Canis lupus familiaris: one gene and its partners. The protein of the gene in region 1 purifies or fractionates together with the protein of each later gene. This does not show direct contact. Links are inferred from orthologs where the notes say so. Each region holds a gene or a part of one and is shown in the gene's direction. Other genes may lie near its edges.

Region 1 (3,500 bases):
AAAGGGAAAGTTTTTTTTTTCTAACTTTCCTATGTTTGCTAATTAAACTTTCTCTTTGTTTCAGATTGAAGTGAGTGAATTCAAATATATAATTCAACCTTGTTAGAGGGCTTTTTAAAAAATAAAAAGTTGATTCGGTGCATGAGAGCAAGTTACTGCTGCATACCGTTCAGAGACTTACAGGTGCTTGCCTGCATTGCAATAAAGGACTCATATATTGAGCAAGACTTATATTTATCTCTTCGTTTTGGAGAGCCTAATAAACTGTTATTACAGTTTCTCTACTGACTTTCAAAAGTTTTGAAGTTTGAAAGAGACATCTTTACAATTAATACAGCATGAGCACGGCCAGAACAGAGAACCCTGTTATAATGGGTCTTTCCAGTCAAAATGGTCAGCTGAGGGGCCCTGTGAAGCCCAGTGGTGGCCCCGGAGGAGGGGGCACACAGACACAGCAACAGATGAACCAGCTGAAAAATACCAACACAATCAATAATGGCACTCAGCAGCAAGCACAGAGTATGACCACCACTATTAAGTAAGTGTTCGAATAAATAATAAACAGGCTTGTTAGACCAAGATTTCTTTCTGCTACTTTGTTGTTGACTACTTTAGACCTTGTTTTAACCATTTTGTTTGCAAAGAAAGTACAGAGGACTGTTTTATGGGTGGGTATTTGCAATTGAATAATGTATTTTTTGTCATAGTTCAGAGTCATTAGGTAACAGACATGATATATATTTTGTATACATTACTTTTTGAAACATTTCTGGCTTTCATCAGCTCAGATTCATCTTGTTTTTGCCAATATGGCTTTTTCCCTAGTGTTACAACTGTATTTTACCTTAGTATAAATGGTAGTTAAAGCCAATTTCAGTTTTTAAATTTAAAGACTGGCCCAGACTCCTGAATCCAGACATATACCTCACTGATAGATATTTATCCATAACTTTTTTTTTTTTTAAGATTATGGGACTTTAGTTTTCTACTTTAAAAAAAAAAAAAAGGCTTTCTCCTTTTACACACAGAATTACAAGCAGTTATATATCATAAGGTTTTCAAGATTTTGAACTCTTGAAATATACAAGACTGAATACTCCCAAGTCCCTTTGTTGACTAAAAATTTAAGAGTTTCATCTTATTACAGAACATTTTTTTCATTTAAATTTGCTATTTGTCGGGATCCTTGGGTGGCGCAGCGGTTTAACGCCTGCCTTTGGCCCAGGGCGCGATCCTGGAGACCCGGGATCGAATCCCACGTCGGGCTCCCGGTGCATGGAGCCTGCTTCTCCCTCTGCCTATGTCTCTGCCTCTCTCTCTCTCTCTCTCTCTCTCTCTCTCTGTATGACTATCATAAATAAATAAAAATTCAAAAAAAAATAAATTTGCTATTTGTCATCTAAGTGTTGACTTTAAATTATTTGAATGATAACTGTCACTCTAAAGATTCAGTTAATGAATAATCAACATAGAAGACTCTTGATTCAATTTCACATTTGGCTTTGTTGTTGAGTCTAGCCATAGAGATTGATTTACTCTTGAAATCTTTGTATGTTGAAACATACAAATGTTGAAACTGGTTCCCTGAATTAAAGTATATGTTATATTACAACCTAGATCTTTTCTATGCCTAAAGAGTACTTCCTAAAGAAAAACTAGCATTTAAAAGCTACTAGACTATCATACAGATGGTTACTTTTTTTTTAAGATGGTTACTTTTATTGATATCCTAGTGACCTCTAAGAGTTAATTCCCAGTGGAATTGGTTTGATCATTGGGAGAATTGGCATGAGTGCATTTTTTTTTGCATATTTTAAGCTTTAATTAGTATATAAAGCAAGAATATTCTCTAAATTGTAGTTTGTCTTGACAAAGTATGATTTGGCCAGCAAAATTTAGGCTATTGTTAAACCTAAAGCTGTGTTATTTCATTATTTTATGCTTAAATTCTGATTTCAGACAATAGATTTTGCTTTTTCTTTTTTGCTCTGCCTGGGATTAATGATTTCTTTTTAATTCTGTGGGTTCTTTAAATCTCATACTGTCATCTCTTCCACGAAGGCTTCTAGGTCCCATCACTGTCTTCAGAACTCCTGTAATATTTATCTCTATCACTTATTTCACTTTCTCATTTTAAATAGTTTGGGTCTTTTATCTCCTAAGATTATAAATTCCTTGTGGTAAGATTTTCCATTGTATTTCTGCAGCTGTATTCACTTTATATTGAATATGACCATGGCAAGCTGGCCTACTAGGATGTTCAACTGACATTTTTGCTCAGAAACTGCTGGTGTGTTTTATAAAGGCGTAGGTGAAGGACTTTGGTACCCTTGGAATTGGTAGCAAATAGTTATCTCTGTTAGAGTATCTACCCAAAACTATGTGGGACCAGGACGCCAGGGTGGCTCAGTGGTTGAGTGTCTGCCTTTGGTTCAGGGCGTGATCCTGGAGTTCCGGGATTGAGTCCCACATCAGGCTCCCTGCATGGAGCCAGCTTCTCCTCTCCCTCTGCCTATGTCTCTGCCCTCCCCCCCCCCCCTCTCTCTTTGTGTCTCTCAGTGAATAAATAAAGAAAAATCTTAAAAAAAAAATTCTGTGGAACCTAGCTTTAAATGAAGTAAGTGCTCATCTTCCTAAATCAAGACTTGAGATGTTTTGGAGTCTCTGATTATATAAGAGTTGCTATAATGAAATCAGTAAGAAAAAAAATTTTATTTTAAAGATTTTTATTTCTTTTTTTATTTTTTTATTTTTTTTAATTTTTTTTTTTTAAGATTTTTATTTCTTTATAAGAGAGAGGCAGAGACATAGGCAGAGGGAGAAGCAGGCTCCTCACAGGGAGCCCAACGTGGGACTCGATCCCAGAATCCTGGGATCACGCCCTGAGCCAAAGACAGACGCCCAACTGCTAAGCCACCCAGGCTGCCGAAAATCAGTGAAAATTTTTATTTAAAAATGACACAATTGAAAGCATTATCTGCTTTATTGGCCAATTTTTTCTTATTAGATGCTTTGAGTATTATTTGAGGTTTTTACCTGACCGAAAAGAGTTCTACTCTATTTTCTTGGTTTCTCTTTCACGGTTTCAAGCATTCTCAGTAAAAAAAAGTTGAGAGATAGTGAATAACAGATGATCCTGAGTTCTTTTTTTTTTTTTTTTTTTAAGGATTTTATTTATTATAACAAGGGTGGAGGGGGGACAGACTTCCCACTGAGCATAGAGCCCTGATGTAGGGCTTCAATCCAGGACCCTGAGATCACGATCTGAGCCAAAGTCAGACACTTAACCAACTGAGCCACTCAGGTGCCCCCTAAGTACTTACTTTGCCAGGAACTATACTGAGTGCTTTATGTAAATTATTTGTTATAATTCTGAGCCCCCTTTATAATTCAGAGAATTGGAGGCTTAGAAAAGGAACTGCTGAAAAGTCACAAAAATAATTAGTCAGGGCTTAACTTTGGTTCTGAAACTTTAGACCCCTTGGTTTTAACCAGTCACC
Region 2 (4,293 bases), on another chromosome or scaffold:
AATGTAAATATGGTTCTTGGAAAGAGATTAATTTCACTAATTAAAAAGGTGTGGGGAACGGAAGCTGGATATGTTATTGTACTACCTTGCTAAATGTTTTTCAATTGCCCCAAGGAGAAAGCCTACATTTTCTAGGTCTTTCAAAGTTTGTTCAGGCTCCGGTGAGACAACCCTTACCAGCCTACCCCCACAACTCCATTTCATAATATTTCTGAATTGCTTTATGTTCCTTGAAATCACCAAGCTCTTTCTCCTTATAGAGATCTTGCTTGTCTTTCAGGTCTCAGATTTTTTTCACTTCCTCCGGGAAGCTTTTCCTAACAGTACCGGGCAGTCATATATATGAAAAACTGTAATCACAATGCCATGTAGAAAGTGGAGCGGGAGTTACATGTGACTTGTGGGGGTCAGACTTGAAAGTTCCCTGGAAAAACACAACTAAGAGGGAGCAAGCAGTACTTTTATTCCTACTACAATGATTGTACTAATAAACACCCAACATTAGGAAGTTGATGTTTCTTGCAGGGTAAGGAAACGCTTTTGAACTGTGTTCAGGTTAGGTAGTGCCAAGGCTGGCCCTTTGCCTCCCTCTGGATTAGAGAAAGATCAACCTGTTGTTACTCATAAATGAGGCTCCAGAATTTCTATGGGGGATGAGAGCAGGTGGATTTCGTATATCAGATGGACACTAATGGGGGAGGGCCAAAACTGCCCCAAGGCCACCTTTGTCACTACCACTGCTCCACATTCCTGCCCTTTGCCTGGCTTTCTAGAGAGGACAAGATGGGAGGAGATGTGGAAGCATCTTGAGTTCCAAGGGTGATGAGCGATCATGGAGGAACTGCATTCATTTGTACACATTATCTCACTTAACCTCCTAATACTCTAGGAGGTATTATTTAATGCAGTAAATTGCACCGTCTTTGGAAACAGGTAGACCGAATTCTTTCCGGTTGTGCGACCTCAGCCAAGTTTAGTCTAAGACTTTTGTTTCTTCATCTGTAAACTGAAGATGTTGATTCTCACCTCAATAGATTGTTGGATGCTCAGTAAGTAATAATATAGAAAAAGTAATGATACAGGGTCAGGGTTAGTAATTTGCTCAAGGTTATAGAACTTAGTTAAGTGGCAGACCTGGGACTCCGATCCTAGTTTAGCTAATCCTATAGGCCATGTTCTTCCCACTAGTACTTTGTAACTGGGTATAATCGTTTTGGGCAAGTTTCCTTAAGACCTCTGGGCCTCAGATTACTCTATGTAAAATAGAGTTCATTCATTAAAGTCTTGTGTCAAGGTGTGCACATAATAGAGATTGCAGCTCCCTTCTCCTTCCTCTTTTCATGCCACGTAGGTCATTTATCTTTAACTTCTAAAATGGACTCTGCAAGCACTTTATAAGCGGGCGCAGTTGCACAAACACTTATTCAGATCCCCTTTATTTCCTCTTTTTTCCCTTTCCACCTAGGCTCCCGCCCCACCCAGAGCCAGGCCACGCCCTGGCGTGTGACGTCAGCACGCCTCGTGCGTCGCGTCGCGGCGCTCACTGGGGGCCCGGCTTTCGCCCGCTGCTGCCGCCGCCGCCGCCGGCCGCGGCTGCTCTCCCAAGATGGCGGCTCCTCCGGGCGAGTACTTCAGCGTTGGGAGCCAGGTGTCGTGCCGGACGTGCCAGGAGCAGCGGCTGCAGGGCGAGGTGGTAGCCTTCGACTACCAGTCCAAAATGCTGGCTTTAAGTATCCTTCGCTGCGCGGAGCCCGAGCCCGGGCCGGCGTGTATGTGTGGTGGTGGGGGGGTGGGGGACGACGGCGGCGGCTGGGGCCCTCTCCGGGCCTAGGGGCGACCGGCTACCGCGGCGCCCGGAGCGCATGCGCACGGCCCTGAGCTCCCCTCCCCCTCTTCGCGTGTCCCTCGGTCCGCTTTGGGGACCCTGTCTCCCATCCCTTGTGGGAGCTGGGCCCCGAGCGAGGGTCAGTGGGTGGAGGGGGGCTTGACACGCGGATGCCTTTTCGGGGGAAACGCTGTGAGAGGCGATACAGTGCTCCAGAGAGAGAGAGGGTGGTCGTGGGAGGGGGCTGGTGGATTGGAGCCCGGATGGAAGGGGGGCGGGTAGAATCATGTGGGGAGGGGGTGTGTAGAGTAAAGAGCTGCTAGTAGGGCTGGGGTATGGAGTTTAGGAGGGGGTGTCTGCTGGGAGGATTTGGTTCAAGGAACGGCGGTGGGGTGGTGACCAAATGGGCCTCGCCTGCTTTGGGGGGAGAGTAACTGCAGGACAGTTTGTATCTGAAATGGGGATAGGGGCTTATTTTGCTGGTGTGTGTGTGTGCGTGGTGCTGTTGGGGGCGGGGAGTACTGAATGAGGTTTCTCAGTCATTTGAAAATTGCTGTTTTGAGAATGTTTCCATTGGAAACCTGGTCCCAGAGAGAAGGCCACGGTTTTTAGGGGCTCGTGTAGGGTTGTGTGGGTTACAGGTGAAAGAGTAAGTTACGTTCCCTTGCTCAGCCCAGCACATGGAGTCCTGACTTTTCCATAGTAGTTGCCTCCCCTTTTGGAAGTGGTGGTGATTAACAGAATGGAAAAGAAGGCCTGCTTCTTTGGGGTGGAAATGATTTCTGAATTACTCCAGGAAACTCAGTCTTGGAAACAAAATAGTTCCTGGTTGTAATAAATGTACCACCCCTTCCCCTCTTTTTGAGCCACAGGTGGGTTTATTTTTTTGAGGAGTAATCCTTTATGGCATCTTTCAAAAGGAAGTTTTCTACTGAATGCTGCATTTGAGTGGCAAGTATTTTAATTTATTTAACCACTAGTTGTAGATATTTTTAGCTTAGGAAGATGTCCTCTACAGCAAGAACTGTTGCTTTTTTTGGGTAAAATGTAAAAACTCAGACCTGGACCAAATAAGACCTTTTACATTAGTGGGTTAGTTGGAAGGATTTTGGAATGAGGAATTACTTTATTTTTAATTGGCATATAATATACTCTTGATAAATAGTTGGAGGAGGGGTGAGTGAATGAATGAATGAATAAATACATATATAGATAAATGGGTTAAGTAGCTGGGTTCACCTTGAGTGAGCCTCCTTTCCAGTCCTATAGTTTTCTCCTCTGCGGAATGGGAAATCTGAAATCGAAAAAAGTGAAAAGAGCAGTATATAGATGAAAGTATTATACCAAGAACAGAGAGTAATGCCTCTTCTGTGTGGTTCCTTAGGTCCAAGACAAACTCTATATATGGCATTAACACTGCATTATGCTTCCATACAACCAGTAGAGAGGTGACGGAAACCCTTTCTGAGGCTTCCAATTTTGGATGGTATTTGGCTTTGAAAAGCTTGAGATCTTTTGGTTCTGGGGTTTTGAGCGGGTGGAAGGTGACAGGCAGAGATTTCCTGAGGAGAGCTAGGATTCTTGTAATGCTCCCCCTTCTTGCTCGTGGCACACCTGTTACACCAGCCTCATTTCAGTTGTTTTCCATGCCCCTTTTGGGATGCGTCAGTGCTGTTTGCCTCTATTTTCCTTAACTTTATTTTTTTCACCAGAATGTCCCTCTTCCAGTGGAAAGCCCAACCATGCAGATATCTTGCTCATAAACTTACAGTATGTTTCAGAAGTGGAAATAATTAATGACCGAACAGAAACCCCTCCTCCCCTAGCTTCACTCAATGTTAGTAAGGTAAGGACTTGCGGGCAGTTCTGGCTCCAAAATGGGAAACATTGAGACTCCTTGGCTCTTGGTGATACATACATTGTCTGTTGTTTTTCATTTTTTCCATTAACATAAAATTGTTTGTTCTGATACCTTTTTGAAAAACATACCGGTTTAGGTTTCTCCTTATTTCTGCGTACCTTCAGACTTAAGAAACCTTCTAATGCCCAAATAGAGAAATAAAATTGCAAACTTACTTTTGTCCTTAGTGAAAGAGGGCTGTTTTTTTTTGTTTTGTTTTCTAAAAACCTGGAGTCCGTGCGTGAACTTCTGGTATTAGTGGGGTTGGGTAGGGGTGATGTCTGTGAACCTCCTGAAATTGTGTGTATGTGTGCACACATGAATATATATGGTTTTGGTGAACATATGGAGTATTTTGCAGATCTGTGATTCATGACCTACAAAAATTTGAAAACTACTGCCTTAAAGCTTCATTTTTGTCTTTATGTTTGAATTTTGAGGTCTGACAGAATTAGATGTTTAGAGTAATCTTACATGTTGGTATCTTACATGTTGGTATCTTACATGTTAATCTTACACCCCCAAATCACTTTGGCTCATGAGTTCTATCAGGCAAAATTTCATGTAT
Region 3 (3,502 bases), on another chromosome or scaffold:
GCTTAAATGTGGAAGAGAAAAAAACAAGAGCTGCAAGAGAGCGAGAAACCAGAGGTGGTGGTGATGATCGCAGGGATATTAGGCGCAATGATCGAGGTCCTGGTGGTCCACGTGGCATAGTAGGTGGTGGAATGATGCGTGACCGGGATGGAAGAGGACCTCCTCCGAGAGGTGGCATGGCACAGAAACTTGGCTCTGGTAGAGGAACCGGGCAAATGGAAGGCCGCTTCACAGGACAGCGTCGTTGAAGCTCCACTGTTTACAGAGTCTTGGCAGTGGTACATTATTCATCGTGTTTGCATTCTTGTTAATTTTTTTTTTTTTTTTTTTGGCTTTGGAATGTGACACAGCCTTTTTGATCATTTCTTTGATGTGAAAAGCATCTTTTGGTTATGAGTTAAATTGAGGTGGACATTATTTCCCCAATTTCACAACAGGATTCACATTGTTAATTTATAAATCTAGACTTGGAGAATTAAGGACTGAGAAATGACCATATCTTAAACTGTCTACAACAAAATGAACTTAAAAGGACATGCCCAACTGAAATCAGGTCCTTTGAGTCAAAAAAAAAAAAAAATCCTCTGCTGCACATTTTGTTTAAGTGTTATTGTTTCTACCTGTTAATGTTGGAAACACAAATAGTGCAATTTGTGCAATTGGAGAATCTTGCATTTTTTCTTGGCTCTCTCCCAAAATACAACCCAACAGAAACTTGTTATGCACTCATCAAAATGCACTAATGGGTACTCCTGAACTCATTAACATTGACATCTGCAACAGGAGGCAACAGGGGGAAAAAATCTTTCATCTTTTTTTCCAGTAGAGAATAGTTTGTGAAATGATGAGGGCATTTTATCTGCTTGCAGTGACCAGCGTGTGTACACATAAACCTTAACAAGACTACAAGTATATTCCAGAAGGGAATCATTTAGTCATGAACTCTAAATAACAGAAATCAGAACTTCAAATGCTATGGTCTTGAGTATTAGACCAGATTTAGTAGCTCCATATCTAAGATTTTTCTACCTGCCCCTCTTCAGTACAGGGATGGCTGGCTGCTCAACACACTCCTCCCTTTTTCCTTTCTTTAAGCTATGTACAGTGAAAATTGTCTTTACTGTATTTTTGTTCTCTGGTAATGTAATAAGCATGATGGTGCCTTCTATTAATACATCATTCCAGTCTTGCTGGTAATTTTGTACAGTTTAGTGTATGAATTGCTGTGCTGCAAAGTCAAACAGCTGCAAAATGTTGAAAAATCATTGAAGTGTATAAAAAATTGCAGTATCTTTAAAATCAGTAAAATTGACTAGCATATTATTTACCTTGTTCTTCAGTTAACAGCTTTGTGTTCTCTGTGGGAGGGAGTCTTGTGTGTTTGGGAGGGAGAGGGAAGGAGGAAGTCAGTTATTTGAGTAAGTCTCTTACTGACTTTTAGCATGAATGTGAACGTTGAAGTGTATCACTTGAGAGGTGCTCGGAAAAGCCAATCAACTCGATGTACATTTTTTATGACATTTTGAAAGCAGTCAGATTCCATAAATGGCAAGTAAACGAAGTGAGGATACTGCAATTTTCAGAGAAAAGAACAGCATCTCCTAAGTGTTTGCATTTTCTATTTGGGGGGCAGGGAACTGTCATTCATTTTGCACAATTCTTGAACTGATGTCAGCACCCGAGTGGCTCTGAATTTAAGTCTGGGACGACATCTTTTATTTTTACATGGATCTCTAAATTCTGTGAGCAAAGTTTGTAGCTGCTGGATTATTGTCTGTCTTTATTGCAAGTTCCAGTAAACCGCAAGTATGGCGAAGGATATCCAATTTTATGCTTGGAGCATTCGGGTACATAACAGTTTCTGATGTTTCAGGCTAGGAGTGAGGTAAATTAAGTGTGACCACTTAAAGCTGCTTGTTAGCATGGAAGACTTCTCCATTCTTAGTAAAAACAAATTTAAAAATGCACTTGACATAGTAGCAAACTGGTTCTGAATTATAAAACTGTTTGCTATTTAGTAAACTAGCAAATGATGCACATATTTTGTTTTTCATGTACTGGGCAATATAATGAAATTAAATCTGTCCTTCTTTTCTCCCTTGAATGAGGTCTTCCATGTTTGGGGAAAAGTCTTGCACTATTGCATATATTTTGGGAACACAGATTTCTCATAGTTTCCATTTTGGGGGGCTTAAAGATTTTTTTTTTCCTGTTGGAACACTTTTACACTTTCTAATGTATAGTACTTGAAGTTCTTACCAGAAAATTACTTTTGAGTTTTGAAGCCTTTTTTCAAACTACTTTTAAATAAGTGGTTTATTGTCAGTGTTTTGTTTTGTTTTATAGTATATTTTTCCTCTACTCTTTTCTTTCCTTCCCGTTTTAAATATATATATAATTTCCAATCTAGGATATTGCCCTGCCACCCATGAAAACTGTGTTCTGGCACCAAAAGTAATGAGAAATGTTAAGTGTAATAGAAAATTAAAGAGCCATTCAGCTTCAGTCTCTACATACCATGAATAAAACATTAAAACATCACATGGAGAAGTTTACATGGTGATTGTTCACCTGCAGTACTGTGGACTTTTAACATTTTGTCCCCTTTTCAGTGAACCAGAGTAAAACTATTCATTGACCATTACTGTTATTTGCTTTTTTTTTTTCTTTGTGATGGTAATATTCTATCCTTATGACACTATTGCAACCAAATTGGCTTTACCATCTTGGCTTTAGTAGGTATAGAAGACAATGGATTACCATCTTTATTGCTGTAATGTGTTAAGCATTATATGCTAGTAGAATCTAGTTTAATTGTTTCGGGTGGAAAAGTATTCTTTGAGTTTCCATTTTGAATGTGTTTGGATTTAACAAACAATAAACTACTGATGTCTGCAGCATTTATCTATGTCCCTAATTTAATCTATAGGTTTGTGTTCCAAAGTATTTTTTCCCAATTGCATTTCATACAACCTAAGTAAAAATAAGGAATTGTTCTAAAACCAATGGCTGCTTGTTTGTGAAATTTGATTTCTAAAAAAGTAAAAACAAATATTTAAGTATGACTGAACATGATTAGAGATGTATCCCAGTTCACTTAGGTAACTGGTATACACGTTAAAGAATAGCAGAAGAGAATAAGTATAAAGAAGGTGAGAATGATCAAAATCAGACCACTTATTAAACGTTTAGAGAAAAACCAAAACTTAAGTTTTCTAAAGGATTGGTACCTCTTATCTCAGAAGGACATCTGAAGTTATAGGCATGACTCAATTCAGAAATTGGAACGAATTTGTCAAGCTCTAAAAGAATATTAAATGGAAAATACATACTTGCAAATGTGACTAAGTATTTCAAATGAAAAATTAGGTCCTAATGCATATATGATATTAGAACTTGAGACTTGTTAAAAGGGATGGTTATGAATGATTTTTTCCTGCTGATGTATTTGTAACACTGTTCATGAGGATTCCTTGAATCAGTCTTCACAAGTTTGTATTGG
Region 4 (4,050 bases), on another chromosome or scaffold:
AATGCAAATCTGACCTCCTGGTTTTCTGTGAAAGGCTCCCTGCTCCTTTGAAGACGATGTCCCAGTCTCCTTAAAAATCTAGTCCCAGGTTCCTTACCTCTCCAGCCTCATTTTTTTTTTTTTTTTAAATCTCTTTCATTTTATACTTCTGCCACGCTTTTTCTTAACTTGGCCACATTCCCCTGCCTAGAAATCCATCACCCAACGCCGGATTCAGTGTCACTCCTCTCTGCTCTCATGGCGCCCTATGCTTCACCTAGTGGATGTCCTCTACCGCCAGCTTTACCTCGGGGAGGACAGGACGTGCTTACATCACGGTTGTATCCGACGCATTCAGCCCCGTGTTCTAACGCCCAACTAATTTTGAGGCCATAAAGCCTGGTTTCATTGAAGAGTTGAATGAGGATCTTTGAATTACACCTATAGGTGCTCTGGCCTTCTGTCTCTGTTACTACGGTGTAAGGGTTCGTTCTAGGGCACGGAGAAACCATTTAGGTATTAAACCGTCGACACTTAAAACGATTTCGGATCTAGCGCAGACTTCTCTGTAACAGGCGGCGTTTCAAGCCGGTACCTCCTAAGGTCCGCCCGCCTTCTCCTTAAAGCAGACAAGGTCCCGAGTAACCGCTCACGACGCCTCGGACCGGCCTAAGAGGGGCGCACGCGGGTTTAGACGTGGGATTTCTTTGCACTAGACTCCGCCCACGGGCCCCAAACGGCGGAAGAACCGCGCGCCCCGCCGTGACACCTCACTCTGCGGCGGAGGCATCCCGACGCTTCGCCGCCGGCGTAGGCGGGGCGGCCGGCTCTTCCTTCCTCACGGCTACTTGGGCTCCTCCCCCCGCGCTTCACACGCTCATTGTGAAGCGACAGCGGCAGCCAACCTCTAGGGCTGTCTGAGACCTAGAGACCCGAACCCCTTGGCGCGCGTGAGCGCCCGCGCCGCTCCTTCCGCACCCCAGGGGCCGGGGGCGCGCGCGAGACTCGCCTTTTTATTCCCCGCTCCGGCCCGGAGCCAACCGCCCCGGCGCGCGCGGACCTCTCGCGCCGCCGCTCCCTCCTCCCCGCCCCTCCCCCGTCGGGAGCTCCCGCCCGCGCGCTCCTCCTCCTCCCCTTTCCCCGGCGACGCGCACGCGCGCCAGGCCGGCTCGCGCCCTCTCGCTTTCCTCCGGCCCGCGAGACCCCCCTCCCCTTCCGCCTCGCGGCGCTTCCTCGCGCCGCGGTCTTCTCTATCCACCCCCGACATCGCGGGGCTCCCCCCGCGCCCGCCAACGGCGGGTCCCCGGCTTCCCGAGCCCCCTTGCTTCCCGCGCTCTCCGGCGGGGGCCTAGCCCCGGCCTCCTCTCTCCCTCCCTTCCCCCTAATTCCCCTTCCGGACGCTGCCATCATGTTGAAGCCTCAGCCGCCACAACAGACCTCCCAGCCCCAGCAGCCGCCCCCCACGCAACAGGCCGTGGCCCGCCGGCCTCCCGGGGGTACCAGCCCTCCCAACGGCGGCCTCCCGGGGCCCTTGGCCTCCGCCTCGGCTCCCCCAGGGCCTCCCGCGGCCGCTTCTCCCTGCCTGGGGCCTGCAGCCGCCGCCGGGAGCGGGCTCCGCCGGGGAGCCGAGGGCATCTTGGCGCCGCAGCCGCCGCCGCCGCAGCAGCAACATCAGGAGAGGCCAGGGGCAGCGGCTATCGGCAGCGCCAGGTGAGGAGGGGTGGGCTTCCGGGCGCTGGTGCCGAGGCTGCGGGGCGGCGGCGGCGGCGGCGGCGGCTCCGGCCCAGCGGCCGGGACCCGAGGACCCTGCGCGAGGCGGGCACCCAGTCCGGCCACCTTGGCGGGGCGCCGGGGGGGAGTGGGGAACTCCCGCGAGGCTAGGGGCGGGCCCCCTCCGGTCCTAACAGGTCGGAGGGAAAGGGTCCCCGCGCGGCCACCGGGACATTTGGGGGCCGTGCTCAGCTCTCAGAGCCTCGTTGGGCCTCGGGGCTCGGGCCCTAAGGGCAGGCGGGGCGCATCCCCCCAGCGCCGTCAGAACGAGGCTTTGGGGGGGCGAAGAGGTGATCGGGGTCCCCGGCTCCATTACCACGAAGGGTCTCGCGGTCCCCGGCTTCAGCCAATAGGGAGTCAGCTGCGGGAAGGGGTCCCCGGCCGTAGCCAATGGAGGGGGGCGCGCGGCCCACAGTTTGGCCAATGGGGAGGGAGGGACTTGGGAGCAGGTTGCTACCTCCCCGTTCCCGGTCTGGCCAGTAGGAGGGGAGCGGGGTGGGCGGGGGGACGGAAGGAGGGACGCCTGGGAGGACTGCGGGCTGGGAACCTCCAGCGCGCGCGCGCTCTCCCCGTACGTGCGCGCGGATGCTCTGTCTCATGACCCGGGCGTTCGTGAGCCGAGGGTAACCTATAGGGCAGGGTTCGGAAGTGTGCGTGGACGGGTTCGCCTGGTGTTTGTGGATGAGTCGTGGACACCGCACTCGGTTTCTTCTGTGTGTGGGTTAATGGAATTGAGAGTGGCGGTACACGCAGGCGCAGTGGGTTCTGGTCGCGGGAGGGGGGATTTTGGAGGCCCGTGGGCTTTACTGCGCAGGCGCGAACCGGGCGAGGCCTCCCCGTGGATGGCTTTTGCGGCTGCGCTGTCCCCCAGCCCCGCCAACGGCCCCCTCATCGCCCTCCTCAACCGCCGGTTACATCAGCCAGCGAGGAGCAGGGTAACCAGGCGATCGGTGACCCCTCCTGGAGTGGGTGGTATTGAGTAAAAGAGGTCGAGAAGGGTGGGTTGTAAAGGGAGTACCCTCCTCCCAGACTTTGGGGCGTAGGGCTGGTGAAAATGATTGTCTTTTCTGTTTGAGAGGTAACGTACCTGAGCTAGGTGGTTCTGAATCTGCATTCCCTGAGCTTTCACCTCTATGTCTAGGGTGGATTGTTGGTTAACGACTACTGTAGCATTGCTTTCTTGGAAGCATGAGGCCCTGGTCTCTTGGAGAAAGTGAGAAGGTTGTGAATTGACAACCGTTGTTGATCAAGGTCTTATTTTTAGTGGCATTTGGTGGAACGTGTTTCCTGACTTTTACTGTCTATGCCTTTCTTCCTCTGAGAGGTGAGAACTTGAAAATCTTGTTGATTAATTGGTTGGTAGTCTAAATTATTTTCTCAGGGTATGTGGTTCTAGGAAACCGAGTTCTTTGAAATTAATTCTATAAGACGGATTGAATGTGGTTAAGTAACTAGTTTCTCGTTTCCTTTCTCACAGGGGACAAAGCACAGGAAAGGGACCCCCACCATCACCGGTGAGTGCCACCCCTCACCCCCAAAGTACAGAGGAACGTGTGGGGATATAGGACAGATCATGTGCACAAATAGTTGGGCTCAGAAGAGCTGGGGCCCAGCACATACAAAGTGGGTGTGAGTGGAGTGTGGGTATTCAGAAGGAAGGTGAAGTGCTGACTAGCTCTTTTATGTTATTGATAGGTGTTCGAGGGTGTCTACAACAATTCCAGAATGCTGCATTTTCTTACAGCTGTTGTGGTAAGTTGGTAGCTAAACCCTAGGTTGTTTGAGACGAGTAAAGCACCAGTTTGCTGGAGACACTTTTTTTTTTCTCCACTCTTCCAGGGCTCCACTTGTGATGTAAAGGTGAAGAATGGTACCATATATGAAGGTATCTTCAAGACTCTGAGCTCAAAGGTTAGTGTACTCAAAATAGTTTATTTTTGGAATTTCATGGGAGGAGGAGGATGAAATAAGCTTACTGGAGATGTGAGTTGAATAGCATTGGACAGCATTGTGTTACTCATTTCTGTAGCTCTGTGCCAGAGTGGTGCTGGAAGCAATAAGAAATGTGGGTTGGAAGTTTGAGGACTGGGTACTTTAATGTTAAAATACTTAGTCCTGGGCTGATGTTGAGAAGGCTGTTTGTGAGAGATAGTGTGGTGTTGGGACAAGGTTGGAAAGAGTAAAAGAAAAGTAGTCATATTTTTACCATCACATTTCCTGATATTGACCCTTTACTATTCGGGAATGGGACTTTTATAGTTTGAACTAGCAGTAGACGCTGTACACCGGAAAGCATCTGAG
Region 5 (3,500 bases), on another chromosome or scaffold:
CAGTGCTGAGGTCTGGTCCTTTCTGGCTCAGAAATGGCAAGCCCCAGTGGATGCGCCCCTTGCTGTCTTTACCAGTGGGAGCAGCTTCCATCCTTAAACAGCCGCATGCGGTGGCATGTGGGGTGGGGGGGCCCTAGCTGGTCCGTCTGCTCCCCGGCCCGGGACTGGGAAGGAGCACCTTGACTTCTCTTCCCCTCCTGCCTGCCTGTGTGGTGATGGAGGAGGCAGAGTAGATGAGAGCGTGTTCTGACCCAGGAAAGCCCTCCTATAGCAACACGAGGCCCTGGCGTTCCTCGGGGCTGCCCCTGAGGTTGTGTGGACTTCTGGGCCTCTCTGCTCTCCTGGCCTCTATCCACCCCTCCCTCCACCGTCCATCCATCCGTCCCTCCTCTCCTGTCCAGCTCTTCGTCTGTCCATCCGTCCGTTATCTCCAGCCCACTTGCACTGCTGGGCAGGCCGGAGATGGGAGGCTGCACAGAGGCTCAGTTCTCAGCCTCAGGAGCACCATGTGGTCGGAGGACCAGCAGCCATAGGGAAAGTAACAGCATCGGCGGTGGGGACATGTTTCCCATTTTCCCTCACCCTAAGTTTCTTGCCATTTGCAGAATAAAGCGATTGCCACCCCTGTCCAGGGCGTGTGGGACATGAGGAACAAGCAGTTTCACACAGGCATTGAGATCAAGGTGTGGGCCATTGCGTGCTTCGCCCCCCAGCGTCAGTGTACAGAAGTCCACCTGAAGTAAGGCCACCGGGGTCAGGCGCGCCTGGCTTTGGGCGGGATGGGGGGCAGGGGGGAGGGACAGCCGGCAGGGGGGTGCGAGGCCGGCAGGGACGTGGACTTAGTGCCGTTGCCGAGCTTGGTGGCCTTTCCCTGGCAGGGAGCACTGGCCCAGGACACGTGGGCCGCCTCAAGGCTGCTTCTACTTCTCAGACTCATTGGTGGAGGGAGTGTGGAAAAGTGATGGAGATTATATAAGAGATAAAACAGTAAACAAGTAAATTTGAAAATTTTATGCAAAAGAAAAAGTTATATTCAGTGAACTCAACTTACTTTGAAGAAAACACGTTGGCCTCGTGCTTCTGCATCACCCTGGTGTGGCCCAGGCAGCAGACCCCTTTGAAAGTAGCACCAAAAATATGCAGTTTCGTCGGTCGTTTTTTTTTTTTTTTTAACATATTTTTATTTAAATTCAGTTCGTCAACATATGCAGTATAACATCCAGGGCTCATCCCATCAAGATAATTTCATGTCTTTATTTGAGAGAGAATGAGTGAGAGCACAAGCAGGGGAGCAGCAGGAGAGGCAGAGGCAGGCTCCCCCCTGAGCAGGGAGCCCGATGTGGGACTCCATCCCAGGATCCTAGGATCATGACCTGAGCCGAGGGCAGACGCCTATCTGAGCCACCCAGGTGCCCTTGTCGTTTGTGTTTTTGTGTCCAAAACACCAACAGTGGAAAGGAAGCTACTACTTCCCATCTGTCTTACGGGGAAGCAGGAGGGAACTCAGAGCCTGAGAGGCAGAGCTGGTTAACATGCTGGTGAAGGCCGCCTCTGAGAAGCTGGGGCTCAAAGTCACCGAGAGCAGACGTCAAGGGGTGAAAGGCTGTCGGGGCTACTTGTCCCCGCTGCCGGCAGCGTGAGCTGGCCGCACAGAGCAGCTTAGGAAGCCAAGGCGGCTGCAGCTGAACCCCAGGTACCTCTTCCCCGTGTTGTGGCCTCAGCCCTGCGGTGAATTCACACATAGGTGTAAATGCGGATGCACACGCATGCACACGTCTCTAAGCACATCGACGTATAGGAGGATGAACACTCACGCCACTGGATCGAGTGTCCTTATCCTTAACTGTCGAAGGCGACGTTATTTTTACTTCTGGGCTTAAAATAGAAGCTGTTGCCCTGTGTGTGCCCCCCGCCCGGGGTGGGGGTGGCCTCTCCAGGCCTGCCGGGGCAGCTGCTGGTGTTACCCTGGCTGTGGCCGATCCTGCTCTCTCCCACGGCTGTGTCGCCCAAGTCCAAGCGGTTCAAGAATAATGGGGGCGAGTCCAAGGGGACTGTGGGTTGGTGGCTTCCCTCTCTCTGACAGTGTTTGGCGCTGACGAGGTCCTGCGTCTTGCCCCAGGACCCAGGTGCTGGTCGGGCCTGCCGAGTGGGTGGCAGCCGCACCAGCCCCTACAGCTGGGAGTGGCTTTTTAGGAACCCGCATGTACGTGTAGCATATACCTCTGCCTTGAGTTAACACATAGAAATGGCTCTGTCCAGGTCTGACCCTTGGATTCGGACACCAGTGGAAGTGGCTTGGGTTGGGCTGTTAAAGCTGTGCCCTTCCCCTGGGGTCCCTGGTTGGGGTGGATTCTTGGGCGCCCGCCATGCGTTCAAGCCTGATGAGCTTTCTCCTTCAGATCCTTCACGGAGCAGCTCAGAAAGATCTCGAGGGACGCTGGGATGCCCATCCAGGGCCAGCCGTGCTTCTGTAAATATGCCCAGGGGGCGGATAGCGTGGAGCCCATGTTCAGGCACCTGAAGAATACGTATGCTGGCCTTCAGCTGGTGGTGGTCATCCTGCCTGGCAAAACCCCCGTTTACGGTAGGCCTTCACTCTCGGGGTCCCCGGGTGTTTGGTGCAGCCCGGCTCCTTGGTGTTTTTGCCACACTGAGGGATGCCTGTGCTTGCCCCATTCATGAGCTAAGAAGGACGAGGGACGTTCTGACAACTGCCAGGCAAGTGCCGAGGGCCGCCCGCATCAGCGCTGAGACCACTTCCTGGAGGCCAGCATGTGCGTGGTTATTTTATTCCACCCCACTCGATGTTGGCCGGGTGGAGGAATGCCCCTTCGGTGCACATGCAGTGATCACCGGGGGCCGCTGTCCAGGTGTGGCCATCTCTGTGCCCCCTTGGAGCTCTCTGGAAGGTGATCAGAGTCTTCACGCCAGCAGGGCAGTTGTGCATCCATTCAGCTGAAACTTAGCCAGCCCCTGTGATGAGAGTTCAAAGAGCAGCCCCCCATCCAAGGGACCCCAGGGCGGTGGGGGTGGCGGACAGGTGACTCCAGGACAGGTGAGGGGGGAGGGGTTGCTGTTGGACAGCTGTGGGAAGTCTGCGGGACCCAAAGGTGCCCAGCAGAGGTGGCGTCAGGATGAGAACCTCTGGCATGTGGGGGCCGTGACGCTCAGGTGGTGTCACCAACTGGACCCTCAGATCGAATTAGATACATAAAAGCCGTGCATCTCTCCTCCAAGCTACGTATCCAAGAACGCAGATGACACCATCGGTGTTTCCATCCACAAGTCACCCGTTCCCACAGCACTGCCCAGGGAGCTGACCATGGCTCCGTGCAAGAATCCAGAAACTGAGGGGTGTGGGCCTCGATAGCTCTTTCACGTCGGCTTTGCATGTGCTGTGAATTTCGAGGATGCCAGCGTCTCTATTTTTAACAACCCAAGCTTTTGCTCGTAACCCTGAGCACTGCGATAGAAGGCAGCGTTCTAGGCGGGAGCGCCAG
Region 6 (4,092 bases), on another chromosome or scaffold:
TGCGGACTCAGGCTCTGATTCACACGTGAGGAATTCGCCGCTGCCATCCCTAGGCCAAGCTGCATTTTCAGACACGCGGAGAGAGGAGTTGCGAAACGCACAGGAATGAGTTCTTCGTGGTTGCAGTTTAGTCCTTACGGGGAAAAGTGAGAGTTAGTTCCGTGAGCTCAGCGGGCCCGACGAGGCCTGCGCGGCGCCCGCACGGGTGTGGGGGGGGCGACCCACCGGGACCCCTGGGGGCAGGGCGCGGAGGCTGAGCCCCGGAGCAGCGCCTTCCCGGGCTCCGGCCGCTGGGCGTGGGGGGGGCGGGGTCCCCCGGGGCGCAGGCGGGGGGCGACCCTCCAGGCCCCCTGGGAGCAGGGCGTGGAGGCTGAGCCCCGGAGCAGCGCCTTCCCCGGCTCGGGCCACTCGGGGGGGAGGGCGGGGTCCCCCGGGGCGCAGGCTGAGGACGACCCTCCAGGCCCCCTGGGAGCAGGGCGCGGAGGCTGAGCCCCGGAGCAGCGCCTTCCCGGGATCGGGCCGCTGGGCGTGGGGGGGGCGGGGTCCCCCGGGGCGCAGGCGGGGGGCGGCGCTCCGTGGCCCCGCCGACCTCTGCCGGCTCCCCCGCGCCACTTGCCCGGAGCACCTGGCGCCTAAAAATATCGCCCGGGTCGGACCTCCCGGAACCAGCCCCCGCTTTGGAGGAGCGCGGCGCCGTCATCCCCTCGACACACATAAATCACGGCTCCGACCTGCTGTGGACTCAGCGGGTGACGCGCGGCTCGAGCGGCGACGAATCCAGCCCCCGACGAAGGCCCGGCCGGGCCCGCCGAGGCCGCCCGCCGGAGACACGGCCCAGCCACCTCCGCGTCCGCCAGCCCGCTCAGCCCGGGGCCCTCCGGAGCCAGAGCCTGTGGCAATCACGAGTTTCTCTCCGCCCCGTCGGTGACGGAAAACTCGTGACTCGGCCCTGAGCGCGGGGCGGGCGCTGACAAGCCGGCGGGGGGGCGGGGGGCGGGGCTGCGAGTCGGGCTCGCGAGGAAGCCCCCGACGGGCGGCGCGTGCGCAGTCTCTCTCCACGGGACCTCCTTCCCGCCGCTGAGACTAGGAAGCGGGACGCCAAATCTGTCCCCGCGCAGCCGCCGCGCCGGGCGCCGAGCGCCGAGCGGGGGCCGCCCTCCCCGAGGCGCGCCTGTGCACGTTCCCACGCACGCTCCGGCGTACGGCGGCGGCCCGGGGTCGCGAGCCGGCGGAGGACCCGCGCGCGCGGAGGAGCCCGGGGCGGCAGCGCTTCTTCCCTCCCTCCCCCACTCCCCTCCCCGCTCCCTCCCCCCCTCCCCAAGAATGTTCCGCTACGAGGTGAGCTCTTGCGACCGGAAGTGACCCCTCCCTCCCTCCCGCGCCCCCTCTGCTCTCTCACCCCCGCGCCCCGGGGGGGAGGGGAGGGGAGGGCGGGGGCGGCTGGCGGCGGGACGCGGGACCGAGTGGAGCGCGTAGGGCCTGGGGTCGCGCGCGGCTCTAGTCCGAGGGCGCGGAGCCGGCTCCAGGGGGCGGGACTGCCCCTATCAGTTGCGGCTGGGGAGAGTTGGCCTCCGTTTTGGGGTGGGGAGGGCCCGTTAAGTGCGGTGACCTGAGCAGCCCCCGCCCCCACCCCCACCCCCACCCCCACCCCCGGCGGGAGCCGCGGGGGGGCAGAGCGCTGCACCCACCGGCTGGCGCTCCTTCGGGAAGAGTCTCCCGGGAAAGCCTAGATACACGTTTCCCGCCCTGGACCCGGAACCCCCTCCCCTCCGGTTACACACACACCCGGAGGCTCGGGCACGGGCGGGTCGTGGGGCGGGGGGAGGGGGGCCCCGGACTCGCCCTTTCCTGGGGCCCGAGACTGTTTACCAAACCGGGCTCCGAACTGGGAGGGGGCGTGTCCCGCAGAAGTTGTTCTGGGGCGAGTGGAGGGAGACGTGGGCTCGCTGACCATCCCGGGAATGCAGCAGCAACAGTCGGGAGTCCTGTGACCCTGCCGCTAACTCACCCTTTGACCTTGAGCTGCTCCTAGTCTCTGGACAGAAAGTTTCTGGATTTTGTAGACGGAAGGCTGCTCCAGGTGATCGCTGAGAAGCTTCACAATTTAAAAAAGCAGTGATTTGGTTAAGTAGGTCTTTTGTGATTTGGAAGGGAGTGCAGTGCGGCTGGAAGCTGCCTCTGCTGCGGAGGCAGTCGCATGCCTGCTTTGGGGAACTTTGGGAGGGCTTAACCCGGGTTAGGATGGCCTCTTGGCCTAACCTTGCCTTTGGGAACAGCCTGCTTCAGGACGTAGCCCGGCACGGTATATCACAGGCTTGCCTATTGATATGTGGCCTGAGTCTTTGAAAATTGGGGACACGTGTACTTGATACTTGATAGGAATGGTTCAAGACCGAACCGACTTGATGTAAACATGGAGAGAGATGATGAGGTGCAGTAGGCAGAGTTGCCAACACAAAAGAGAACTTGGAGAAATAAGAAATCAGTGGAAAACTAAAGTGGAGAGGGGAAATGCTTAAAGCAGAAGGAACCTAAATTGTTCTGATACTACCATCGTTCAGCAGTCCACAATTTTTGCCAAATCTTTGCCTCATTTAATCCTCACACAACTCTCTAAGGTATTGTCCCTTTGTTACCACTCAGAGCCTAACGCAGAGCTGGAGACACAGTAGGTACTCGAGAGGTGTTTAACGAGTTAACCAGAATACGATTTGGCCAAGTTTGCGCCATTCTCTTGTGAGAATGAAGCCAGAACTTGAATTCACCATATCATGGCTTTCCCAGAGTTCACTTAATTGAGGTTGAAAATTTAGCTTTCTGTTTCATCCTCAGAGTTTGGGCCTACAGAAAACAGAAGGGTGGAAAATGAAGAGAAGGCTGTAAAAGGACATAATAAAGTAACTGATATTTTGACATGAGTATGAGTAACATGATGCTTCTGTTGAAAAACATACATAAAACTCAATAATGATAAAGTGTTCGTTTTCAGTTGTCATTACTTCTAACCAGTGATGTCAAAAAAGTTAGGAGCCTAATTTCTTGGTTGCTTGAAGAAACACTAGATTCTTGATAGAGAAATGGAGTGTTTGGGAAAAGAGAAACTGAAAGAAGATACTGCCATCTTCCAATGTCAGGGAAATTGGGGCAGAAAAAAAAATGCTGTCTTTACAAGAGGTCATAAGCTATTTTGATGATTGGAGGGACAAAATGAGCATTTTTTTAAATGAAGGTGTGAACTTCATGAATACCTAATAAGCTCTCTTCTTTCTTTTTTAGTCCTTAGAGGATTGTCCCCTGGATGAAGATGAAGATGCATTTCAGGGCTTAGGAGAAGAAGATGAAGAGATTGATCAATTCAATGATGATACATTTGGGTCAGGTGCTGTTGGTAAGACATCTTTCTCCTGTAATGTCATCTTGATCTCTTGCTCTTCAAATATTCTCTTGTATAAGTGATTTGTCTTAGAGTAACTGCATTCAAAAACTTGGCAAAATATTCTATTCTTAGAAGTCTCAAATAGTTTAGTCTTCACTGGAAGCATCTACTTCACTCCCCTGGGCCCCTGTTTTGCCTTATTTATGTATAAAACCAGGTGTTCTCTGAGTCCAGTGCCTTCCAGCTGTTTTATCTGTGGTTCTAGGTTGATGCTGTAAGGCATGCAAATAGTTAGACAAGTAGACGTTTTATGAAGATTTGAAATAATCCTGGAAGAAGGAAGTTTTTATTTGTGGAATATATAACTTGGAAAACTAGTAGACTAAAAGAAAACTTGGACTTGGGTATATATGTTTTAAAATTCAGTTAATCAGTGATGTATTGTGTGACCCCACTATTGGCTTACATAGTATCTTCAATAAACTAAAAAGCATTTCATTCTAAGAATTGTGGTGATAGGAAGTCTTCATAAGTTAGAAAAGGGCTGGGCACAGATGAAATTTTCCTATTCCTGGATATAGATAAATATTTTAGGAGTTAGAAAAAGGTAAAAAATTAAAGAGCCAGAGTAAACATGGCTCAGAGTTATAATTACTAAAATGAGAAACTTAGGGAACAAGCTTACATGATAAAATTTAAGAAATAAAGATCCTGGA
Region 7 (3,500 bases), on another chromosome or scaffold:
CAGCCAAGAGACCATGTTCAAATTGTTAGCATTCTGCAGTAATTACTTAACAGCTGGGGCAGAAAATTGATTGTTGACTAGCAATAAGCAGCTGATATGTGTGGATTCTGAGCCCTTCAGAATTAAATCTCCCCGTAAGTTCTCAGGTCTCTTTTACCATAAATGACATGGCAATTATAAAAATTTGAGCTGAAAGTCAAAGCACACAAAAGGAAAAGGTGTTTTTCTCAGTGTCACCTAGCACCATATAGGAGCAACCTGGTCTCCCTCCTGTATTGTTTTCAGGGAAACAGAAGACCTCTTCATTGCTCTAAGTTTTTTTTAATGCCCTGTCTTCTAGAATGGAATCTTCGCTGTTTTAAGTTATCAGAGGACTATAGGATTTGAGTTGCTGAAATCAATTTTGCTTTGACTTCAAGGCACGTTGAAACAAGGAAGGGAGGGGAATCTCGATTTGCCGTGCAGTTTGCTCAGTGTTTGAGAACTCTGAATTGGGTTTCCTCAGCAATTAATGAGTCCTTTTAAGAATGCTCTAAATGAGGAGTTGGCCGACTTTTTCTGGAAAAAAACAAAAAAAAACAAAAAAAAAACATAGTATTTCCAGCTCTGCGAGTCACAACTACTCAACTCTGCAGGCCTTGTGTGAGAGCTGGCCGTAAGTGTAAGTGACGCATAAACCAGTAATTGTGGCTGTTTGTAACTTTCTCTACAAAAACAGGTAGTGGGCCCGATTTGGCCTCTAGGACATAGTTTGCCTACTCCTCCTCTAGGTTCATACATGTACTCAGTATACTCAGGATCTCAACTCTTCTTTCACTTCCTAAGCAGTCTTACTTCCACTATGACTATAACAAGATAAAACAAGTGAGTGGGACTTAGATGGTTTTAAAAGCCACTTAAGTTCGTTTTTCTTGTGTGGATTTTCACCTCTATTTTTCTAGCCTAACTCAATATGAACAGTTGAAAGCCCATCAGGGAACTGGAGCAGGAAACTCCCCAATGATCCTCAATTCAGGAGAGGGCAAGGAAGTAGATATCTTACGAATGCTCACCAAGGCCAAAGATGAATACACCAAGGTGAGTTTTTGTCTTCCCTTGTGAAACATACTTAAATCCTATGGTGGTAATATGCTTGTTGAGAAAGGCTTATTCCTTCCACCAAATAAAATTGAATGAAAAATTAAATCTCTATTTGCTTTTAGCAGGCTAAAGAAGACCATTTGTTTTAAGTGGATGAAAAGGTAGCCTAAGAAATCAGCAGCCTTCCTATATGCAAATAGTATCCAGTCAGAAATTTTCCTAGAAGACGCCATTTACAGTAGCAACTATTAATATAACATTCTTTGGAATAAAATGAACAAGAAATGAGCAAAACCTCTATGAAGAAAACGTTTAAACACTCCTGATAGGCATAAAAATAGACTTGAACAAATGGAAAAGTATGTGTGTCCTGATTTTCCTTCCCTTCCCCAGTGTTCATCTGTTCTCTTAAATTTCACATATGAGTGGAAATCATAAGGTATTTGTCTTTCTCTGACTTAATTCACTTAGCATGATACACTCTAGTCATCCACTTTGTAAGTTTTCTTAAACTTACGAATTTACAGAAAATAAAAGGGAAGAGAGGAGACAGGCAGGCAGAAAACAAATGGCACCAAGGAAGCAATCAGAAAACTCCTGAATGAAGTGGGACATGCTAAAGGACAACTGGCCAAGTTTCTCCAGGATGCCTTTGGTTTGATGGTTGACTTACCCTTGATTGGTAGACTGTGAGCTCCTTGGGCACAGAGAACACCCTGTATTCATCTTCATAAGCCTAGTTGTCTTCTATGTTCCTGGCACATATGTGCTGAATAAATGGTTGTTGATTGACTCAATGTATATGAATACGAATTAATCATAGTTTCATTGTCCTTCGATCAGAGGGCTGGGACAGAGACACTTTAATCTCATATGCGGTCAGTAACAATGATTTCTGTATTTTCCATTTTGCTTAATTCTTCAGCAGCTGTTAAAAAACATTCTAATGACTTAGCAACTATCAATTAATTATATTTTACCTGATTGTACTATGTCAGATTAATCTGAAATTGCGACATTTTGGGGACACCTGGGTGGTTCAGTCAGTTAAGGATATGCCTTCAGCTCTAGTCATGATCCCAGGGTGCTAGGATCAAGATCAAGCCTCACATTGGCTTGATCGTTGAGGAACCTGCTTCTCCCTCTTCCTCTGCTGCTCGCCCTGCTTATGCTGTCTCACACTATCTCTGTCAAATAAATAAAATCTTTTTTTAAAAATTAAAAATGTAGGGATGCCTGGGTGGCTCAGCAGTTGAGTGCCTGTCTTAGGCTCAGGGCGTGATCCTGGAGTCCCGGGATTGAGTTCCACGTCAGGCTACCTGCATGGAGCCTGCTTCTCCCTCTGCCTCTCTCTCTCTGTGTGTCTCTCATGAATAAATAAAGTCTTTTTTTAAAAAAATAAATAAAATTTAAAAATTTTAAATTTAAAAAATAATGACATTTTTACCCTCCAGGAACTTAGGTTCTGTGAGGCAGCATAACAATGGCCAATAAATAATAAATGCAAATACTGAACAAATTATTTTCTTTCTTCTCCCTCCCTCCTCAGCGCACACACACACACATACACACACACACATATTTTATTATTTTTATTTTATGGTGTTTTGGCATCTTAAAAGTCTTCTGGTTGGGACCAGAATCCTCCTCCCTGGGCTAGCCAAGTTTCTGTTTTTGTTTTTTTTTTATAAGTAGGCTCCATCCCAGCATGGAGCCAAACACAAGGCCTGAAATGACAACCCTGAGATCAAGAGCTGAGTCACCCAGTTGACTGCCCCTGGGCTAGTAGGCTGCCTTTGACTTGCAAACTAACCACCCTGCGATGTCCCTCCTCTATCTGACCCCCGCACCCCAGGAGGCTAGTCCTCTGCCCTAGTCATCTCAGGTCCTGGGACTAGAGACCACCCTAGTGTTTAAAGCCTACTGAAAATTATCCAACTAGCCAATCCTAAAGTGCAGCAACCCCCATAGAGGCTCTTGCCTTGGCTTTCCCCTTGCTCCTGCTTGGTGTTTCCTGCCCACCCTGAGGCCTCCACAGGTGGCCCTGCAGGGTGAACTGTGCCTCCTGCTTCTAGGACCTCTGAGTATATTTTGGTTTCCTGAGCCTCTCTCCACAGTTTCCTCTTTTTTTTTTTTTTTAAGATTTTATTTATTCATGAGAGACAGAGAGAGAGAGGCAGAGACACAGAGGGAGAAGCAGGCCCCATGCAGGGAGCCCGATGTGGGACCCGATCCTGAGACTCCAGGATCACGCCCTGGGCCAAAGGCAGGTGCTAAACCCCTGAGCCATCCAGGGATGCCCTCCACAGTCTCCTCTTGTCGCTGCACCTGACTGTCTCATAAAAGAACACGGGACACACACACACACACACACACACACACACACACAGAAACCCTCCTCTGTGGTCTTGGAGACAATT

The links.
Region 2: the proteins of DDX6 (region 1) and LSM12 purify together in Homo sapiens (affinity purification with mass spectrometry; 5 studies listed by BioGRID and IntAct, with this or other methods). This does not show direct contact. The link is inferred for Canis lupus familiaris from reciprocal best matches to the Homo sapiens genes DDX6 and LSM12.
Region 3: the proteins of DDX6 (region 1) and G3BP2 purify together in Homo sapiens (affinity purification with mass spectrometry; 3 studies listed by BioGRID and IntAct, with this or other methods). This does not show direct contact. The link is inferred for Canis lupus familiaris from reciprocal best matches to the Homo sapiens genes DDX6 and G3BP2.
Region 4: the proteins of DDX6 (region 1) and ATXN2L purify together in Homo sapiens (affinity purification with mass spectrometry; 6 studies listed by BioGRID and IntAct, with this or other methods). This does not show direct contact. The link is inferred for Canis lupus familiaris from reciprocal best matches to the Homo sapiens genes DDX6 and ATXN2L.
Region 5: the proteins of DDX6 (region 1) and AGO2 purify together in Homo sapiens (affinity purification with western blotting; 5 studies listed by BioGRID and IntAct, with this or other methods). This does not show direct contact. The link is inferred for Canis lupus familiaris from reciprocal best matches to the Homo sapiens genes DDX6 and AGO2.
Region 6: the proteins of DDX6 (region 1) and PATL1 purify together in Homo sapiens (affinity purification with mass spectrometry; 6 studies listed by BioGRID and IntAct, with this or other methods). This does not show direct contact. The link is inferred for Canis lupus familiaris from reciprocal best matches to the Homo sapiens genes DDX6 and PATL1.
Region 7: the proteins of DDX6 (region 1) and DCP1B purify together in Homo sapiens (affinity purification with mass spectrometry; 6 studies listed by BioGRID and IntAct, counting the BioPlex papers as one, with this or other methods). This does not show direct contact. The link is inferred for Canis lupus familiaris from reciprocal best matches to the Homo sapiens genes DDX6 and DCP1B.

The regions. Positions count from the first base shown.
Region 1 is NC_049226.1:15,030,713-15,034,212, forward strand, and holds part of DDX6 (probable ATP-dependent RNA helicase DDX6), read left to right. Parts: intron 1-64; 5' UTR 65-338; coding exon 339-538; intron 539-3,500.
Region 2 is NC_049230.1:19,181,382-19,185,674, forward strand, and holds the start of LSM12 (protein LSM12 homolog), read left to right. Parts: upstream 1-1,493; 5' UTR 1,494-1,606; coding exon 1,607-1,730; intron 1,731-3,537; coding exon 3,538-3,671; intron 3,672-4,293. UniProt on the Homo sapiens protein: Nicotinic acid adenine dinucleotide phosphate (NAADP) binding protein. Confers NAADP sensitivity to the two pore channel complex (TPCs) by acting as TPC accessory protein necessary for NAADP-evoked Ca(2+) release.
Region 3 is NC_049253.1:39,971,407-39,974,908, forward strand, and holds the end of G3BP2 (ras GTPase-activating protein-binding protein 2), read left to right. Parts: coding exon 1-248; 3' UTR 249-3,002; downstream 3,003-3,502.
Region 4 is NC_049227.1:18,508,087-18,512,136, forward strand, and holds the start of ATXN2L (ataxin-2-like protein), read left to right. Parts: upstream 1-1,250; 5' UTR 1,251-1,387; coding exon 1,388-1,689; intron 1,690-2,254; exon of another isoform or gene 2,255-2,334; coding exon of another isoform or gene 2,335-2,372; intron 2,373-3,226; coding exon 3,227-3,263; intron 3,264-3,444; coding exon 3,445-3,501; intron 3,502-3,588; coding exon 3,589-3,660; intron 3,661-4,008; coding exon 4,009-4,050. UniProt on the Homo sapiens protein: Involved in the regulation of stress granule and P-body formation.
Region 5 is NC_049234.1:35,808,913-35,812,412, reverse strand, and holds part of AGO2 (protein argonaute-2), read left to right. Parts: intron 1-605; coding exon 606-739; intron 740-2,399; coding exon 2,400-2,584; intron 2,585-3,500.
Region 6 is NC_049239.1:37,542,373-37,546,464, forward strand, and holds the start of PATL1 (protein PAT1 homolog 1), read left to right. Parts: upstream 1-1,292; 5' UTR 1,293-1,323; coding exon 1,324-1,338; intron 1,339-3,276; coding exon 3,277-3,388; intron 3,389-4,092. UniProt on the Homo sapiens protein: RNA-binding protein involved in deadenylation-dependent decapping of mRNAs, leading to the degradation of mRNAs. Acts as a scaffold protein that connects deadenylation and decapping machinery.
Region 7 is NC_049248.1:2,039,219-2,042,718, forward strand, and holds part of DCP1B (mRNA-decapping enzyme 1B), read left to right. Parts: intron 1-941; coding exon 942-1,077; intron 1,078-3,500. UniProt on the Homo sapiens protein: May play a role in the degradation of mRNAs, both in normal mRNA turnover and in nonsense-mediated mRNA decay. May remove the 7-methyl guanine cap structure from mRNA molecules, yielding a 5'-phosphorylated mRNA fragment and 7m-GDP.